Daphnia pulex: one gene and its partners. The protein of the gene in region 3 purifies or fractionates together with the protein of the main gene of each other region. This does not show direct contact. Links are inferred from orthologs where the notes say so. Each region holds a gene or a part of one and is shown on either strand. Other genes may lie near its edges.

Region 1 (6,636 bases), about 11 Mb from region 3:
CGACATCTTCTTGGCTATCGGTAAATTCAACTCATTACTCACATGCAATTATTCTTCTCTATGTACATCTTTCTTTTTGCACTTGACAGCCAAGAAACTACCTAAGAACGACGGAGCTGGAGGTGTTGGCGGAAGCAGTGGGCAGGGTAGGAGGCTAGACAGAGCTGAAGACGGCAACAAACCAGCTTCCTCGTGCTGCAAGTGATCACGAAATAATTAAACAACAAAAAAAAGAAACTAAACAAAGAAAAAAAACACATACTACACACATTTATGAAAGACAACAAAAACAACAAAAAAACCATATATTAAAAAAAAAGAAAAAATCATCCGTTCTTTGTTTTCTTTGTTTTTTCCACACGCGGGGATCCAATTCCTTTTCTTTCTTATTATTATTTTTCCCTAATTTTTTTTTTTGTAAACCATCAAAAGGACTTTTATATCATATCCCTTTACAGCATCCCCCTCCCCCCATCAGAATATAATTTGCAGCATTTAAATAGTTACAACCTTTTTTGGGGATTATCCGTTGTGTCGATCGTTTATTTTTTAATTTTTTTTTTATTCAAACGGAGCAGCGACATTCCAAATTAAATGGCGAATTTGAATTGGAAAAGAAAACAAGGCAAGGGTTTACAAAAAATAATGGCCTGACTCTGTATTATTAAATCTCCCGACCATCATCAACCATGTTTTTTTTCTATTTTGGTTTTTACATAACACACACCTTTTTTCCCCCCACGTTTTTACTTCAAACAAACTTGTGTGATGGTTCTTTTTTCTCGTGTGTAGAATTTCTTCCCCCCGTTTCTTTTGTGTATACTCGAACCTCCCCCCCGCCCTTCAAAACTTTTGTATATCAAGCTTTGTGAAACCTTGATTACCTTTTTTTTTTTTTATATACAAATCAATGTAGGTGTTCCACACATTTCTTCTCTATATACCTATTTAGCTTTTTCTCTCCTTGATCATGATCGTGGCCCTCCCAATATCTTTCGAATAATGTCCTAACTTGGATATCGTGTAAGTAACGCTGCTATATCAGGAAATGTACATTTCTTGCCTTGCCCGTTGATTTCATTTCATTCTTTCTTTAATTGGCTTTACTGATACTGATAAGCCTTTGCACTTTGGAAGTTGAAATGAGTGGAGAAATAACGAGAAAAATTTGGATATTCTTGTGAAAAGGCGAATCTATATTGATGCACATGGTACAAATACGAATGACATTTCACAAGAGGTAATTTTTTTTACAGCCAAATTTCAGCAGCTTTTGTCCAAGTGGGAACTCGTGGTGGTAATTAGTTTTCTGGTTCTGGATGACAGCTGACCCAGAATTACCTAGTGAAAGAACAGAACAGTTAGAGACAATTTACACGGCGTCATTAAAACTAGTGAACTTACCTAAGAATCAGACTGCCATTTGCTTCCATGTGACTGCGAGTGGTTGAGAATGGATTTACTTGGAGCGAGCACGCATCTTCCTGCGCTTACGCTTAAGCCTACGCATACGCTTCTTACGCCACTAAAGAAAGAAAGAGCCGGCCATTAGATTCACAAGCCTCGAGACAAGCATCACAGTACACCGATACATGAAACACATAGAATAGGTAGAAAAACGATAATTACCTTAGCTCTCATGATGCAGTCGGTCTCTAAATGAAACAAGGAAAACGAAACAGTCGGTTAGAGATGTTGAAAACGAGGCAATTGTTGGATGATATTGGATTTTGTTAACTCAGTAAAACCAAGAATGAACTTACCTAGGAAAGACTGCAGAGAAGAGTGAGAGAGCCAGTGCCTGATGGTCTCCTACATTGCCTATTTCCGTTTCCACTCCTTTCTTTAAAAATAGTTGAAATATTATATCGTAAAACATATTAAAACCTATATTAATTTGATGCTAGAAAAATTAGCAATTTTATTATGGGTAAAGTATTGTTTTAATTAATATTTTAGTAAATAAATTTGATAACTGGCACAATGCAAACCCGCTGTCGGGGTTGTTTACAACGAAAAAAAAAAGGAAAAATGGAGTTCGATATGAATCAGATATCTCAAACAAGTAATTCAAACGCGAAAATTGAAGCATCTGAAAGTCAAAACAGTGAAGTTCCAAGTGAAAACAGTGCAGTTCAACCTGTAGAACCAGAAAATGTCGACTCCAATACCCTTGCGGCCGTATTACAGTTTCTTCAGAAGCACAACCTGAAAGTAACTGAAAATGACATGATTATTTTTAAATTTCGGCGTCTCATTTATTTACAATGTATTAGGGGACGGCTGATATTTTGAAAAAAGAAGCACGGCTCAAGGAGGATCAATTACGAGATGCACAAGCTCTTCAAGTGGATTCAGAGGCAACAAATTTGCTCTCATCATACAAGAGCGAAGGAGACCCAAATGCCTACGAAAAAGCTTACCTAAGTTACAGGAGATTTGTGGAAAGCTCGCTGGATGTTTATAAAGTATGGTCAAAAGATATTCAACTCAATTTCAAATAATAATTTCAATTTGTTTACTTTTCAGCATGAGCTGTCCCTAGTATTGTACCCTTTATTTGTCCACATGTATTTGGAAATGATTTACAACCAACATGAATCAGAAGCCGCTAAATTTATGGAACGTTTTTCAACAGATCAGGAAGATTATTATCAGGATGATCTTAAAAAAGTTTCTTTTATTACCAAAAAAGAACACATGAAAGGCAGTGATCTCATGGAGAATTTCAAGTAACAAATCACTTTTTTTTTAAATAAAATCGTCAATCATAAAAACTTAAATTGTTAAACAGATCAAGTCAGTTCACCGTTCGAATGTCCCGGGATACTTACTCGGTTTTGAAGCGGTTTTTGCAGGACAAGAACCAATCAATTGTCATGAACGTCATTCAGGAACACTTGTACGTCGACATGTACGAAGGAGTGCCGAGAAATAAAGCCCAAGTTGAATCCACAGCCGGAGCCATGGAAGGCGAGGCCAACAGACAAGGTACACAAATCAAGAGATTAGAAAGAAATCCCCAAAACAATTACCAATTCTTTTCACTTACAGTAAACAAGACCAAAATCTACTATGGTCTGCTCAAAGAGCCCGATATCCAGCTTCCGGTAGTCGAGGAGGAAGAGGACGGAGAACCCGGCGAAGGTGGTGAAAAGCCCAAAAAGAAGAAACCCAAAAAGGATCCGTTGCTCAACAAGAAAGCCAAGAGCGACCCTAATGCTCCACCGGCCAGCCGATTGCCATTACCAGATTTGTAAGATGCAGATGCAGTGAAAAATGGTGTGGAAAAAAAGGAAAATGGTTGAGCTGTGAGTTTCTGTTTCAGGAGAGATATCGACAAACTGGAGAAGGTCAGGGCCCTACGAGAAGCCAGCAAGAGGGTGGCTCTTGGTCCAGACAATTTGCCGTCCATTTGTTTCTACACGATGCTGAATTGCGCGGAAACGTCAGTTATTCTAATTTACCTGATTTTTTCCATTCAATTTGAAATTATAATTTTTTTTCTTTTTCCCTTTTTGTGAATGACAGGGTCACGTGCGTCGAATTCTGCGAGGATTCGTCACTATTAGCCGTAGGGTTTTCCGATTCCATCCTCAAAGTTTGGAGTCTTGTACCCCAGAAACTCCGGGCCATGAAACCGGCCGAGCAATTGGCCGATATCGACAAGGAGGCCGAAGATGTTCTCGTTCGTATGATGGACGACAAGACGGGTGAGACTATGAAAGTCCTTCACGGCCATTGCGGGCCGGTTTACGCTGCCTCGTTCAGTCACGACCGGACGTTACTCTTATCATCGTCGGAAGACGCCACGATCCGGCTGTGGAGTTTGCAGACGTGGACCTGCCTGGTGGTCTATAAAGGCCACATTTACCCCGTGTGGGACGTGAGGTTTTCCCCTCACGGCTACTATTTCTCATCAGTCGGACATGATCGGACTGCCAGACTTTGGGCCACCGATCATCACCAGCCTTTAAGGATCTTTGCCGGCCATTATTCAGACGTTGACGTGGTCCAATTCCATCCCAATTCCAATTACGTCGCCACAGGTTCCAGCGATAGGAGCGTCCGTTTATGGGATTGCGTAACTGGCAACTGTGTCCGGCTAATGACTGGTCATAAAGTAAAAACATTTTCATCCTTTTTATGAGTTTGTTTTTCTTTACAAGTTTTTTGTTTGTGTAGGGAACCGTCTCGGCGTTGTGTTTCTCCACCGACGGCCGTTTTCTGGCATCCGGTGGAGCTGATCAAAAAGTCCTGTTATGGGATCTGGCTCACGGTCACTTATTGGCCGACCTGCCTGGGCACACGATGACAATCTCCAGTTTGGCCTTCAGTCGAGACGGGACCGTGTTCGCCACGTCTTCCCTGGACGGCTCCATCCAACTGTGGGATTTCTTCCGGATGACGGATGAGTCCTCTTTAGAGGACGTCAACATCTCGGGTCACAATCCAGACCTTCTCAAGCGGAGTAACGCCATTGAATCGCTCCGCCTGGCACGTTACCCGACCAAAGCCACTCCTGTCATGTCATTGCATTTCACGCGGAGGAATTTGCTACTCGCTGCCGGCATGTTTGAAGGCTAATCCCTCGATTCACACCAATTTTTAAAAAATAATAATAAGAATTAAAATACATATAACTTTGTCTCTTATTTCCACAGATCCATTTTGTTGTTGTCAAGTCGGGAAAAACCAAATTCTGTCGAGTTGGCTACGTATTTTTCGTAAACGTGCCTAGTGAACCTCGAGACCGCTGTATAAATAGAAGATAATCGACCTGGTTTTTTCCGAGTCGATCTAGAAGTTTCCAGTTTGAGTCAGTCCGAATGGTTAAATTCCTATTGCTACGCAGTGAACCTTTGAATTTGAACCAAACCTTGGAAAAATCCCAAAGAACTGTTCAAATATTAAAAGAAAAACGAGCAAAGTCTAGACCATAAAATGGAGACTTAACGGGATAATAAAATTCAAATTTCTTTGTAGACCAAATAAGGTTGGAGCTAGACAAAAGTCACACGTAACTTGTTTCTTTGGACACGTATAGCGACCGGTCGGTCGTCATGTGTGCACACATAATTTATTATTTTTTCGCCAATAATTAATTTTAATTGAATCAGAAAAAAATCCCGGAAATTTGATTTAGTCCCAAGTGTATTAAAATACTGTATTCTTATCGCGTTGTCGTTCAAAGATTCCTTCAACAGAAGAAAGGAACTGTTGATTTATTATCACACATAAGGGAATGACGCAATCGGCTGTGTAGGCCCCAACACACCAAATGTGGCATAGCAACATTACATGTATACATCAAACAGCTTTGCGTAGGGGTAGCCAAAAAAAGGGATTTTAACTGAAATGACTCGACAGAAAGTTGTCGGTTGGGGGGCTCGGTTCGACCAATGCCAAAACATTGTGTACGTGTCCCAGTTTATTCGCACGTAACAATGTTCGTCAGCGAAAATGTTTACCATTCGTATAATGAACGTCAGCTGGCGCAGTTGCCATGCAAAGTCAACGAATACGTAATATATTTTTTCGCCAGAAAAAAGGGTGTGTTAATAGGGAAAAGAAAAATGCTAAAAGATTTGTGTACGGTTTGGCAGCAGCAGTTAAAAAAAAAAGCCTCCCTCCAGTTTTTCGTGACACGAGTTGAGCACGTGAACAGCTAGTGGTTGGGCTCGTCTCTGATTGGCTGGCCATTCGCTTGTGGCGCCAATTTGATCGCGCGGGATATTCCGTCAGCGCGGGCTCAACCCACCACGTTTTTTATTTTTCCTCTCCACTTCCCCACGTTCTCTACACACACACTTGTGTGTGTGTTCCTTTTTTTATTATTCCCAAACATTTTCTCAAAATTTTACACAGTCAGACCCTGTTAAAAGCTAAAAGATTCGGTACTAGTGAACCACAGTCGTTCACGTCGTCTTCAAGTGTTCACACACACAATCGTCTAAACTCCTCCAACCGTGTATCGTGCGATTATCAGGATTATTTCACGCCGCATTTGACAAGCAATATTTTTTTAAATAAGTTTTTCCTAAAAATGGATTTGACCAAGAATAATAATAACGAAGCAGAAGTTTTGATGACACCACCGGCCACACCGACCAACAAAACTCTTCAACTTCATTTCGATCAACATTCAGCTGTAAGTTTATTTCTTTTTTCTCCCAGTATGTTTTTTTAAATCTGTACTTATGTAATGCACGAAAATAGTTGGATGACAGCAGATTTTCTTTTTTGGTCGTGAGGTCATTGGGTACAAACATCACGTAGTCCACAATTGCGCGTGTGTGTGTAGGGCCGAATCGAATATGCAACGTAATGCCAACATGTGGCGAATGGCACTAACAAAATTATCACGTAGTTAAACTCGAATTTTTCAAGTGAACCAACCAACCCAGGGGAGGTGGGTGGGAAAAGCCCCCGTTGATTTTCTCTACCGAATTTTTGTCTGTTGTTGTGGGCCGCCTTCGTCACTCGCCGATCACGTGATACCCATTGTGTATATTATGTGTGTGTGTGTGGCGTTCGTGAGTGCTATATTTCGCTTTCCCGGCACCTTTTTTAAATTAAAAAAAAAAGAGAGCGACTTTCACTATGTGTGTAGGTACGAAAATGTTTCGGCGGGTT
Region 2 (5,463 bases), on a different chromosome or scaffold from region 3:
AGTCGTATTTTCTCCAAGTTAAAAGGAAATCAAAAGAGAGGCAGACCAAATTTATACTAATAAATACCTTATCATAACCTCAACAGAGTTCATTTTAAGCAACCGTAAAAATGTTTGTGGTTTGCAAGTGAAAATTGGAATTAACCATTTTGTATGCACTTGTTGTTCAATATTTGCAGTACCCCAAGGGATTTGATACCCCCTCCCCCCCCAAGAAAAGTCGTATTGCTGCCAACTATATATTAAATTTCGAAATACCTTTAAAATCAGTCGTTAAGTTGAAAATTGGTCTAGCCCATTCACTGATGAGTCTTCCAGCTTTATCCTTATTCTCCTTGGTTTCCTTGGGGTGCTTACAAAGGTACATCACTGCTTTACCAATTCCAGACTGTTTTAGCGTCCCTTGATCCAGCGGTGGAAACTAGTTTGAAAATACGTAATTTAATTTAGGGTCTGGAACAGAAAGGAAAATAAAGGACATTTACTTCTTGAAGCATAGCGAGAATTTGCTCGCGAATTCTCAGAGCCGGAAGGCTGCGATCCGGCATTGGAGCAAGCCAATCTGTAAGAACGCTAAGTATGTTGTGTTCAATGAAAGCCATCTGTAGATCATGCTTCCGTAGCTGTGCAATAACTGTCGGAAGAAGAGAAATTTTCTTGGTTGCTGGTTTTCGATTTTTGTTGAACTCACGATCCTCCTTTACACAGCAACATTAAAAAAACGCATTAATATTATTGATGACTGATTCGAAGACCATTTTTACTTCAGAAGCAGCTTTCATTTGTTGAATCATATGAGCAATCAAGTCATCGTTATCGTTAATGATGTCGACGTCTTTGCGCTTGCGCTTCCGTTTTTCATCCTTTTTGCGGGCCATCATCAGGTCAAAATCAGAAACAAATTCTGACCTGTTAATACAAACATCAATAATGAATTTAAAAAATGACAACGAAAATTTCACATGATTTTTTTTTTTTACCTTTGATCATCATCTGGATTATCTGATTCAGAATCTTGTCCCTTATCTGAATCATCCTGTTTTGGTTGTTTAGTTTCGTCTTTTTTTGGTGCTTCGTCACCAGATTCCCCAAAAACATCGTCCAAAACTTTTTTGTCTTTTTCGTTTCGACTACCCCCTTCTTCATCACTTGAATCTCCAGCTGGACGAGCAATACGTGATTTCGTCTTTTCTTTTTTCTTCGAGCTTCCAGGTCCGTCGGAGTCACTGCCACTTCGACTGTGTTTACGTTTACGAGTACCACCTCCCCTGCTTTTCACGCTGGACGCCGACGAAGATCTTGATCTAGATCTTGAGCCTTTAGACCTGGATCCTTTTTGGAAAACATTTGTACATTAACAAAACACGAATCGGATTACCCAAAACTACTATTACGTGATCGTGATTTTGAACGGCTTCGGGATCTCGAGCGAGAACCAGACCTTGAACGTGATTTAGAAGATCTGCGTGACGAACGCGATCTCGAACGAGACGAACGAGAACCAGATCTAGAACGTGACCTGGAGCCTATTTATTTTAACACCAGTTATTATTTGGAATATTATAATTGTTTTAATCTCATCAAAATTTTTAGCAACTAATACAGTACCTTTTCGAGAAACTGATTTAGAGTGACTTCTAGATCTTGAGCCTGAACGTGATTTAGAGCGAGACCGTGATTTTGACGAACGGCGTGACGAACGGCGTGACGAACGTGACCCTGATCGAGAACGAGACCCAGATTTTGATCTAGATGAAGAACGAGATCTTGATCTTGAATGTGATTTGGAAGCAGATGGTGATCGACTTCTAGAGCCTTTCTTCAAATGGGGAGACTGAGAGCCATCATCATCTTTTGCTTTGTCTGTGATTTTAATAGTAGATTGACATCGTATTATAAGAAATAAACATAACTTCACTCAACTTACCATAATCATTAGAAACATTGGAATTGTTGGCTTTATCTTCTATTTCTTTCTGTTCACTTGACACTGAATCATTTCCATCCTTCCCCAGACTTCCTTCCTTGGAATCTTCTGCATCGTCTTTGATGTTTGGCTCAGACATGTGCAAAGAGTCATCCATCCTCTAAAGGCTGTTTAGAATAGAAAAAGTACCATTGTTTCAACTTTATTCACAAATGTTGTGAATCTATATTGCTTAAATTATGATGAGATTAATAGAACATATCGTTTTAATTAGGAAATGTTGTGATGCCGGTAAAAAAGATGTTTGAACGTAATAAATAAATTCAATTTCTTTAACCAGAACACAGAATCATAATCTTCATTGGAATGTGCATGTCTTACCTAGTGTTGACTGATCGACGGTTAGGGATTAATTAAAATCTTAAAAAAAAGAGAAAGATTAAAACTTTTGGTTTTATTGTGTGCTCGTCTTCCAGCACACAAACAAATGAATAAAAATGCTCAAAGCTAACGCTAGATGGCTGAAGGATAAGTTGACAGCCCAACTTATTCTGTTAACAAAAGTGAAATGAGACAGCCTCGAAGGAATCTTTTGAATTCAAGTCAATAATAGTTGGTTTATTTGGTTTATTGGTATCTCAGTTTGATTTCAAATCTAACGACCATGTCTACAAAAATTCCCCGTGATGCTCTAGTAATTCAAGCTATCCTAAAAGATATGGGCATTACTGAATACGAGCCTAGGGTTATCAATCAACTGTTGGAATTCATATACCGTAAGCCTAGGAATAGTCAAATAGAACGATTATGAACGACTTTTCATTAACTGTTTTTAATCTTAGGATATGTGACTACTGTCCTAGATGACGCTAAGGCATATGCAAATCATGCTAAGAAAAAAGGGATTGATTTGGACGATGTCAAACTTGCTGTTTCAATGCAAATGGAACAATCTTTCACTTCTCCCCCACCACGTGAAGTATACAGAATTTACAATAGAAATAAGTTATTTGGCCATATTCTCATCTATTTCACATTTAGATTCTCATGGAAGTTGCAAGATCAAAAAATAGCACACCTCTACCTTCAGTGAAACCACACTGTGGCATTCGCCTGCCACCTGACTGTCATTGCCTTGCTGCTTGCAATTACAAGTTGAAAACTATCAAAAAGACATTACCAAAGGCTCTTGGTGGTGGATCGACTACTGGATCTAGAATTGGTATGCTGGGGGCGGCAAGAGCTGTGCACCGACCGAGTTCACCTGCAGTTCGGGTCACTACGATTAATGCGGGAACTCCCACAACTCCTCGACCTGTTGTGAAGATCAACACTGGTTCTGCAATTAATACTCCCGCCAATGTTCCAAAGATTCAGATCAATATTCCGGCTCAGCCCAATCAGCCAGCAGAGAAAATGGAAATTGATGTTCGAGGAGTGAAGCGTGAAAGAGAGGACGATGATTATGATGCTGCGTGAATTATTGGAATGGTTTCTTATTTCATTAAATTTCTTACAAGCTCGCGTTACGTTGCCTGAGTAATGATAAATTCTTGAATAAATCAATCGACTTAAGATTTTTTCTTCATGCTATCCAAGTATTTAAAAAATGAATTAACGTTGCTCGTGTAATATGGCTTCCAGATGTACATAGGAAAGATGTTCAACTCAATGTTTTATCACCTTAGCACACATGTTTGACACGAGAAAAGGAATCTTAAAGGGGGACAACGAGTGCTGAGGAACACAATGGAACGGCTGACGAGACAAAATCAGCTTGGTTTCTGAAAGTAAAATCATAGGGTTGAAAACTGCTATGCAGACTTGATCGTGTTGAACTTTGCAAATGGGGGGGGGGCGAATAGTTAAAATGTATGAGAAAAAAAAATGAAGGAATTCCATGTGCTCATCAAATGTTGCAGTATTAACTGCACGTGTAGAAAAACTATTCGCAGCCCGGTGGGACCAAGTCTTCATCGTCGTCACCACCTCCATCGTCCCATTTACTTCCAACTTTACGACGATCAGACTGGGACGACGATGCTGTCACAGCGGCAACTGGAGCGGGTACAGGACCAGGTTTCTCTTCACGTGCTGGACTACGTTGCTGTACATCTCTTTCTCCACTTTCTCGTTCGTTACGATGCTGATCCTGATCATTACGACCTTGAGGACTTGTATCTCTGGCATCCCGGTTATCTCTTGCATCTCGGTCACGACCGCGATAGTTGTCCTGGCGGCTACGGGAGCGGCTGCGAGATGGACTGCGGCTTACACTGCGACTGTAGCTGCGTGAGCGGCTGCGAGAACGGGATCGAGTGCGGCTACGGCTTCGACTACGCGAATACGATCGTTGCATTTGCTGTTGCCAATAGCCGCCTCTGTTGCGACCACGGTGGCGGCGATTATCATATCCTCCTAAATCAAATATTCAAGTAAATACAAAGCTCTAAATTTTAATAACCTTACTGAATACCTTGATTGTTGTTGTTGTTATTATGATAAGGTCGATTGTTGTACGGGCGGTTGTTATATCCTCCACGATTGTTATTGTAGTTGTTATTCCAACCACGACCACGGTTCTGAAAGCCACCACGTTGGGGATAGCGTCCGCCACGATGATGATAGTTTTGATTCGGATGGCGGTTTCCTCCGCGATAACGTTGATTTTGGTGGCGTCTATCGCCGGAATGGGATCGTGATCGTCTACGGCGGTCGCGAGACCCAGACCGAGACCGAGATCTAGAACCAGATCGTGAATATGACCTCCCACGACTTCGGCTTCGAGATTGGCTACGCGAACGTGAGCGGCGGCGTTGAGACCGCGAACGGGATCTGCTTCCACGCTCTTTCTCTTGATTGGCCTATAACATTTAATCGCGATTTAACTTTATTCTTATTTTGAAATTTCTTTGATCAACTAACCTCCGACTGAGCTTGCTCATTGGTTTTTGGCGGACTGACTGGTTTGGGCGGTGCCTGACGAGGACCCGGGCCAAACAATCCAAATGACTGTATCTTAAAAGAGACTTTGTCTTCCCCTATTTAAACAATAAAACGTTATTTTTAAACAAAAATTCAAAAAATAAAAGATACAAAATAAAAATGGAATCAAGGCAAACGTAAAAAATAAAAATATTAATTACTGAAGTCACCTGGCGGCATCTCCTCTTCTTGTTCAACAGGTGCTTGTTGAGCTGGCGGAGCTCTTTTCTCTTCTTTCATGTATACCATACGACTTTCTTCAACTTCGGGCTCGTCAGACCCACGACCCAACTTCACCTTCAACGCCATGGGTCGCCATTTTCCTGGATAATCATCGTCATCACCAGATGCACCTCCAGCTGAAGCCGACATTCCTGCGGCTCCGGGTGTTGGTACATAAGACGGTGGCGGAACGGGCTCGGGTTTCACATTCAATTTGGATTCGCCACCACGTAATAAACCAGCGGCAGCAGCAAGATCTTCTAATGCTTTTTTCGCTTTGCGCTTTTTCCTTTCCAGTTCAGAATCAGAAGAACTAAACAGATCAAAAA
Region 3 (6,731 bases):
TGATAAATATTGAAATGTCAAAAGTCTACGACTCTTCTCCGAAAAAGGTTTGGTCTGTCTGGGCTACGATGGGACGGCGATGACAAGGTCTGTTGACACAAGGACGTCAGATAGCACCAAACAACGCGATTCCTTGAATTTCTAATACAACAAACAAATGAAAAAGTCTCGAAATGGACCCTCAACGAAGATCTTCGTCATTGTCTCGTGGAAAAAGTCGGCAGAGCTCCCGGAAAACGTTTCGCATATCATTAATAATAAATCCCCGAATAGTTTGCCTTATTCGAAGGCTAAATATAGCTTGAAATTTCACTACAAAAAAGCGGTCAATGAAAAACTTGTGAATAACTTGATGTTGCGACCACTTTCGGCATCCTGGAAACAAGATACTGAATTGTTACGGTTTTTTTTAGCATCAATTGGTATCAATTACCATCACGAGAAAATAACGCGCACTTCGACAAATAATAGAACTTGGGTCAGAAATCAAGTTTTTTAAAGGTAAAAATCAGGAGCAGTAAATTAAAAACAGATTTCAAAACACACAAAAACAGGTCGGTCCTAGAGGGAAATTTACGCTTGCAAAAAGGGAACTGATTATTATGTGGAGCACGACGACGTGTTCTAGCGACATTCGCATTTCGCGGTACGATGTGGCAAGTACATTTCGTAGAAATGCATTTAGAAGGGCGTTGAAAAGCAGAAAGTTACGTTACAGGTGAACATTTAACTATATTTAATATAAAAAACAAATTGGTAGAAATATTTATTAATTAATACATTCTCTATCAACCTGTATTTTCACAGCAAAACATTTTGAATTTTGAATACGTTTGATTACAAATATAATTATGATTTATGATGCAATAATTATTTCAATGACAAATTTTTACTACAATTCTTAAATATCTAGTTACTAGTTGGTCAGTAAATTAAGCTTATTAGAAAAATCCAATTTTGAAATTTATTTTGGGTTCATCATTTTTGCGTAATTTGGCAACTCTGAATAAAAACCGCAGCAGCCGATCTAAAAATAATTCCGTATTGATGTTGTGATTTTCTTATTTTAGCCGATAAAAGTTTAATTCATTACGATAATGCCATCAGTTTTACTAACAGACTCTATTTCATTAGAGCTTGGAGGTAATCATTTTGGATATTTTATATTTTCACATTTATTTCTCACTTTTAAAAAAACCTAATAGCTTTGGAACCTTGGCCTTCTGACGTCAAACTTTATCAGCCCTATGAAGTTGAACAAATTCTATTGCAAGATCAAGCCAATTCTTTGGCTGTCCAAGTTTTTCTGCGAATGTGTGGTTTAGAATTTCAGGTAAATTGGAAAACTAAAACTAAGGAAATCTTAAGTTATTGATTTATTTCTTTTCTTAGGTGGAAATGAGAAGCAATGCTGAGCATATGTCACCATCCGGAAAATTGCCTTTCATAAAATGTGGTGCCTTTGTAGTAGCTGATCTTGACCCTGTTGTCAGTTTTGTGAGCAACAAGGTATTTTCAATATTTTCTCTACAATCCCATTTTATGACGTGTTTTTTTTTGTAGGGTATAAATCTTACAGATCACTTGGATGCTGCTCAAAAAGCAGACATGAGAGCTTACATGTCTTTAGCAAACAATATATTGGGAAATGCAGAGGTATTATATTATTATATTTGTAACTACTTTTGTGTGTTATGTGATTGATGAGCAGTGTTTGTTCCTACTTAGTTATATATCAGCTGGTGTGATGAAACTGTTTTGAATGAAGTAACTGGTCCTCGTTATGGCTCTGTCTATTCTTGGCCTTTGAACACTCTGCTAACCTGGAGAAAACAGAAACAAGTAACTAAGAAATTAACTGCTCTTGGCTGGATTACCAAAACACTTGATGAGGTGATTTGTTTGGTCTAATAGTTTTTGCATTAGAAAATTATTTATTATTTTCCTGCAGGTATATGAAGATGTTGATCATTGCTGTAATGCGCTAAGTGAGCGATTAGGAAACCACCTTTATTTCTTTAATGATAGGTATTAAATTTTTTAAAATGGGTTTCTAATAAAATAAGTGCTGACTTTGTTCCTCGTCATTAGATGCACGGAATTAGATGCGGTTGTCTTTGGCCATGTGTTTACTTTGCTGACCACACCGTTGCCCGACAATAGATTAGCATCCATTGTGCGATCCTACCCGAATCTGGTCGAGGCTTGCCAGTTCCTTGAGAAGACTTACTTCCAGAAACCAACCGCCAAGACAACGGACGATGACAGCGATAATTTTGACTAAGTTCAAATAGTATAGGAAAAGTTGTAAAGTTTATAATAGCCCCATACTTCTGAGATTTACACGCTATTATATTTCATTGATATGATATCCTTTAGAGTAAGCACACACGCGGTTATTAAATACAAGAGTAGAAAATTCAAAAAAATATAGTAAAGGGTTTGAAAAATGAACACTAGGTGGTTTGACTATGCTAGGGGAGGAGTGACACGTTTCAACGTTTTGCCGCTAGGGCAGAGGTTGGGAAATGAGCTGCTTACAGTCAGTTTGGGAACCGGGTTCGGAGCAGAAAATGGCGTCTAGCTTCCTGGACGATTTAATCTCGAACCCGTCAGCGGATGCCGACGCTGTCTCCGCGTTAGTTGGATCACTTGAGAGCCAGTTGAGTAATGCAAATGTTGGTGCTAGTAATAACACACAAGGCGGCGGCTTGGCTTTTACGACAAGCTCTACCTCGTCGGTTCCTCCACCGCTGCAGCCTGCCAATACCCCGTCCGCTGCCACCACAACGGCAACATTCGCGGGAAACGGCAGTAGCCTGCACGCAACAACAACTTGCGCGCCAGCAGCATCAGTTCCGATCGGATCGGCGCTGTCAACGGTCCCTTCTTCAGTCTCTTCTATTCATTTACCAAACACCACCACCGTCCATTCAATACTTCCCAATGGCAATCCCAGTGGTAACACGACAATGTTATTTTTTCATGAACGAAACTGTATTGGACTTGGATTATGAGCTGATAACTGATTGTACTTCTTTCGTTCCTATAGGTATGGTCAACATCCAACAATTTGCAGGAGGTGCTATTGGTCTACCAAATGGCACAGTGGTCACAAGCTCAGGGAACGTTAACACAACACTGTCTGGTATGGTGATCCATCAGCAACAACAGAAGATGGTAGCGTCAACAGCTACTTCTCAGCAACCTACGATGATCATTCCGACTAAAGTTAACCAAACAGTAGCTTCAACAACAGTGATGGGACAGCAACAGCATCATCAACAACAACAACAACAAACTGTGCTGAACACTAATGGAACAGTCACCCTGAATTCATCTCAAGTGTTAAGACAGGGGACCCAAGTGGTTCAACAGCAGCAGCAGACGACCGTGATAAATAGTGCGGGGACAGGAATTCTTCCTGCGGGTGTGCAAGTAGTGAACATGAATGCTATGAGGCCGCAAAACGTACAAAACCTACAAAATATGGCCGCCTTGAACAATCCAGCTCATCGGACGCTTGCTCCTCGTGTGATGTTGGCACCTCAACAGATGGTTGGTGCTCGACCTGGACAAATGGGAATTACTTTACAAGCCTTACAAGTAACGTATCGATTAATAATATAAATCCCCGTGCTGATTGATTCTCTAATTAAAAGGGTTTCCAGGCTGCGGGAGCTCAGGGTCACTTGCTCGTCAAAACCGAAACGGGACAGTATCAGCTCTTACGTGTCGGTCCCGGTCCTGTAGCCGGCACGACAGTTGGGTCACAAGTTGTAACTTCAAACATTCCCTCGTTGCAAAATGTGGCCCAACAGCAGCAGCAACAACAACAACAACCTCAACAACAGCAGCAACAACAAAATATTCAACAATTAACAACGACTTCGAACGCTGTGCCCACGATGAATCAAAACGTTGGGGCTACTTATCGTTTGCAAGTCCCCGTGTCCACAACTATTCAACCTGTGTCCGCTACGACTGCGGCACCTGTTGGTGGGAGTGTGTCTGTTACCCCTACGAACACTTCGGCTCCCACCGCAGCCCCAGCATCAAATCCAGCCAGTAATTCTGGACAGGTGAATACAAACAAGTTCGATGTTTAATAGGATGGCTATTAAAACTTATCATATCCACTTACAGATGACCCCCGACACGGCCAAAGTCAAGTGCAAAAACTTTTTGTCCACTCTGCTACGTCTAGCGAGTGAACAGCCGGAATCTGTGGCCACTAACGTTCAAATGCTCATTCAGGGTTTAGTTGATGCGAAGGTTGAACCAGAGGAGTTTACAACGAAGCTCCAAAGAGAACTCAACTCCTCTCCTCAGCCTTGCCTCATTCCATTTCTCAAGGTATTGTAAAGTTGATCCTACCACTCGACTGTACGTTGTTTGTATTTGTTCTTTATATTGGATTCTTGTTATTTGGTTTCACAGAAAAGCTTGCCCTACTTGAGACAATCCCTAGCTTTACGAGAGTTGCATATTGATGGAATCCGACCGCCAGCCTTAACTACGGTCAACGCTCCGCAGCCCATGGTTATACAACAACAACATCCTCAACAACAGAGTGTTGTCAACCGAGTGAACGCCGGGCCAACGCAGATACAAACTGTACGGCCAATGGGTGGGCAAGTTCGACTCCAAACACCTACAATGGTTGGCGCCTCTGCTGGCACTCTACCCGCTCCACGGCCACCTAGACCAGCAGCCAATAAAGCCACTCCAAAGGCCAAAGCAGCCCAGCAGGCACCTAAAGTGACTGCCACGACAACGGCGGCCGCTGCCTCGACCACAATGACGGCTGTTTCTACTATCAAGACGGAGCCTTCCATTACTTCCGAGTCCCCAGCGCCAATCGCTTTTACCATCCACCTGCCACAAGTCGGAGGAGTAACATCAGCGCCGACTGCCATAACGCCGGGTCCTACACCTTTGGTCACGGTAGCATCGACGTCTTCGGTTCCGACGTCTAGTACGGCAACAAAGCCAACGACTTCGGCGGCAACAGTTTCCGTTGGTCCGGGTGGTATCAAAGGTCCTCTACCTGTACCAACTGGGCCCAAAGACGCTTCGAAGGAGAAAAAAGCTTTTACGTTTGGTTCGTCTCTAGCTGGTCTAGCGGACAACGACATCAACGATGTAGCGGCTATGGGTGGAGTTAACTTGGCAGAAGAATCGCAGCGTATTCTTGGCTCCACCGATATGATTGGTACTCAAATTCGATCCTGCAAAGACGAAAATTTCCTTTTCACCGGTCCCTTGCAGAGGAGAATCCAACAAATTGGTATTGACATCTGTTTTCTTGTTAGAGAAATCGACAAAGCTAATGATTTTATTACGTTTGTTTTTTAGCCTCCAGGAACGGTCTAGGAGATCCTAGTCCGGAAGTAGTTTCGCTTATATCACATGCCACTCAAGAACGATTGAAAACATTGTTGGAAAAGCTTGCCGTCACCGCCGAGCATCGAATGGAAGTTGTCAAAACAGACGCTCGTTACGAAGTCCAACAGGATGTCAAGGGTCAGCTAAAATTCCTCGAGGAACTGGACAAGTTGGAGCGACGAAGGCATAGCGAGATTCAACGCGAAATGCTTTTGAAAGCAGCAAAATCACGTTCGAAAGCTGAAGATCCTGAACAGGCAAAGTTGAAAGCAAAAGCAAAGGAGGTACGTGATAAAATATCTCGTTATAACTGTCACCTTCAAATTCAATGTTGTTAAACTTTGAAAAATTTATTAATTGACAGATGCAACGAGCGGAAATGGAGGAACTGAGACAACGCGAGGCCAACATGACAGCCTTGCAAGCTATTGGTATAAGGAAAAAGCCCAAACTCGACCTGGCTGGTACTACCGGCTCTTACAACCAGGTAAAATCGAACTTTATATTGCATTAAAAGAATTCAATTTTTACCGTTCCAATATTTGTTTTAGGTGCCTTTACGACCGCGTGTCAAGCGCGTAAATCTTCGGGATTTACTGTTCCTGCTAAAAGAAGAGAAAGGAACTATAAGATCCCCTCTGTTGTATAAAGCTTATCTCAAGTAGTCTTCTTTTGTCTCCCTCATCTCTTAAAAAAACACACACACACGTAAGCGTTAAGTTGTTTGCCCATCAACATGCCTGTGAGAGGTGCACATAAGGTTTCCCTATGGGAGTAAAAAAATGAAGCGTTTTATTGGAGGGGAAAACAAGCCTCTGTCCGTCACACCGACACTCTTTATGTTAATTAAGAGCAACGTTATGCAACCATGTCCTTGTTCTCTTCTCCTCCTTCTCCTCCTCGCGACATATGTCCCCCGCCCATCTTCTGTTGTACATACTGTTGATTTATTTGTGCGGGGGGCGGCGTGAAAATGTTCTTTTCTCTCTATTTCAATCTATCTATCTCTCTGAAATGATTATGTCTTTTGTATAATGTATCAGTGTGTGGATGGTTATGACGAAATCATGGAATGCTTTATAATGACGCCACATTTCAATCTTGTATCAACTTAAGAGATTCAATTGGAATTGGGACCTGGTGGACGTTCACCTTCCCATTCCTGAATCTCCTTTTTAATTCAAATGTTCATTTTTCTTCCCATCGCATTCGAATGCAGTGCGTACGTGATGTCGGACCAAAACAAGAGAGGCGAAGAAAAGAAAATTTACGTTTTTTTTTTAATTATTTGGCGGCAAGTTAGTGTGTCTTCGATCCCTTTATTTTGTTTTTGTTTCATCCAA

The links.
Region 1: the proteins of transcription initiation factor TFIID subunit 4-like (region 3) and transcription initiation factor TFIID subunit 5-like purify together in Drosophila melanogaster (affinity purification with western blotting; 3 studies listed by BioGRID). This does not show direct contact. The link is inferred for Daphnia pulex from reciprocal best matches to the Drosophila melanogaster genes Taf4 and Taf5.
Region 2: the proteins of transcription initiation factor TFIID subunit 4-like (region 3) and transcription initiation factor TFIID subunit 9-like purify together in Drosophila melanogaster (affinity purification with western blotting; 4 studies listed by BioGRID, with this or other methods). This does not show direct contact. The link is inferred for Daphnia pulex from reciprocal best matches to the Drosophila melanogaster genes Taf4 and Taf9.

The regions. Positions count from the first base shown.
Region 1 is NC_060026.1:1,543,376-1,550,011, forward strand, and holds transcription initiation factor TFIID subunit 5-like, read left to right. Parts: upstream 1-1,996; 5' UTR 1,997-2,031; coding exon 2,032-2,214; intron 2,215-2,276; coding exon 2,277-2,468; intron 2,469-2,529; coding exon 2,530-2,732; intron 2,733-2,794; coding exon 2,795-2,991; intron 2,992-3,054; coding exon 3,055-3,256; intron 3,257-3,328; coding exon 3,329-3,448; intron 3,449-3,531; coding exon 3,532-4,123; intron 4,124-4,185; coding exon 4,186-4,587; 3' UTR 4,588-4,655; downstream 4,656-6,636. Other genes in the region: ras-related protein Rab-5C-like, read left to right, coding at 1-20, 90-205; Krueppel-like factor 10, read left to right, coding at 6,047-6,151. UniProt on the Drosophila melanogaster protein: TFIID is a multimeric protein complex that plays a central role in mediating promoter responses to various activators and repressors. May play a role in helping to anchor Taf4 within the TFIID complex.
Region 2 is NC_060027.1:3,087,490-3,092,952, reverse strand, and holds transcription initiation factor TFIID subunit 9-like, read left to right. Parts: upstream 1-2,462; 5' UTR 2,463-2,591; coding exon 2,592-2,703; intron 2,704-2,769; coding exon 2,770-2,906; intron 2,907-2,968; coding exon 2,969-3,406; 3' UTR 3,407-3,502; downstream 3,503-5,463. Other genes in the region: protein IWS1 homolog, read right to left, coding at 259-421, 486-698, 765-909, 981-1,332, 1,395-1,526, 1,609-1,863, 1,928-2,084; G patch domain-containing protein 8-like, read right to left, coding at 3,873-4,345, 4,404-4,791, 4,853-4,968, 5,074-5,447. UniProt on the Drosophila melanogaster protein: TFIID is a multimeric protein complex that plays a central role in mediating promoter responses to various activators and repressors.
Region 3 is NC_060026.1:12,792,626-12,799,356, reverse strand, and holds transcription initiation factor TFIID subunit 4-like, read left to right. Parts: upstream 1-2,521; 5' UTR 2,522-2,528; coding exon 2,529-2,961; intron 2,962-3,052; coding exon 3,053-3,606; intron 3,607-3,662; coding exon 3,663-4,082; intron 4,083-4,146; coding exon 4,147-4,356; intron 4,357-4,440; coding exon 4,441-5,290; intron 5,291-5,358; coding exon 5,359-5,672; intron 5,673-5,752; coding exon 5,753-5,875; intron 5,876-5,939; coding exon 5,940-6,053; 3' UTR 6,054-6,654; downstream 6,655-6,731. Other genes in the region: metaxin-2-like, read left to right, coding at 1,098-1,143, 1,206-1,333, 1,393-1,509, 1,564-1,656, 1,729-1,893, 1,952-2,028, 2,092-2,284. UniProt on the Drosophila melanogaster protein: TFIID is a multimeric protein complex that plays a central role in mediating promoter responses to various activators and repressors.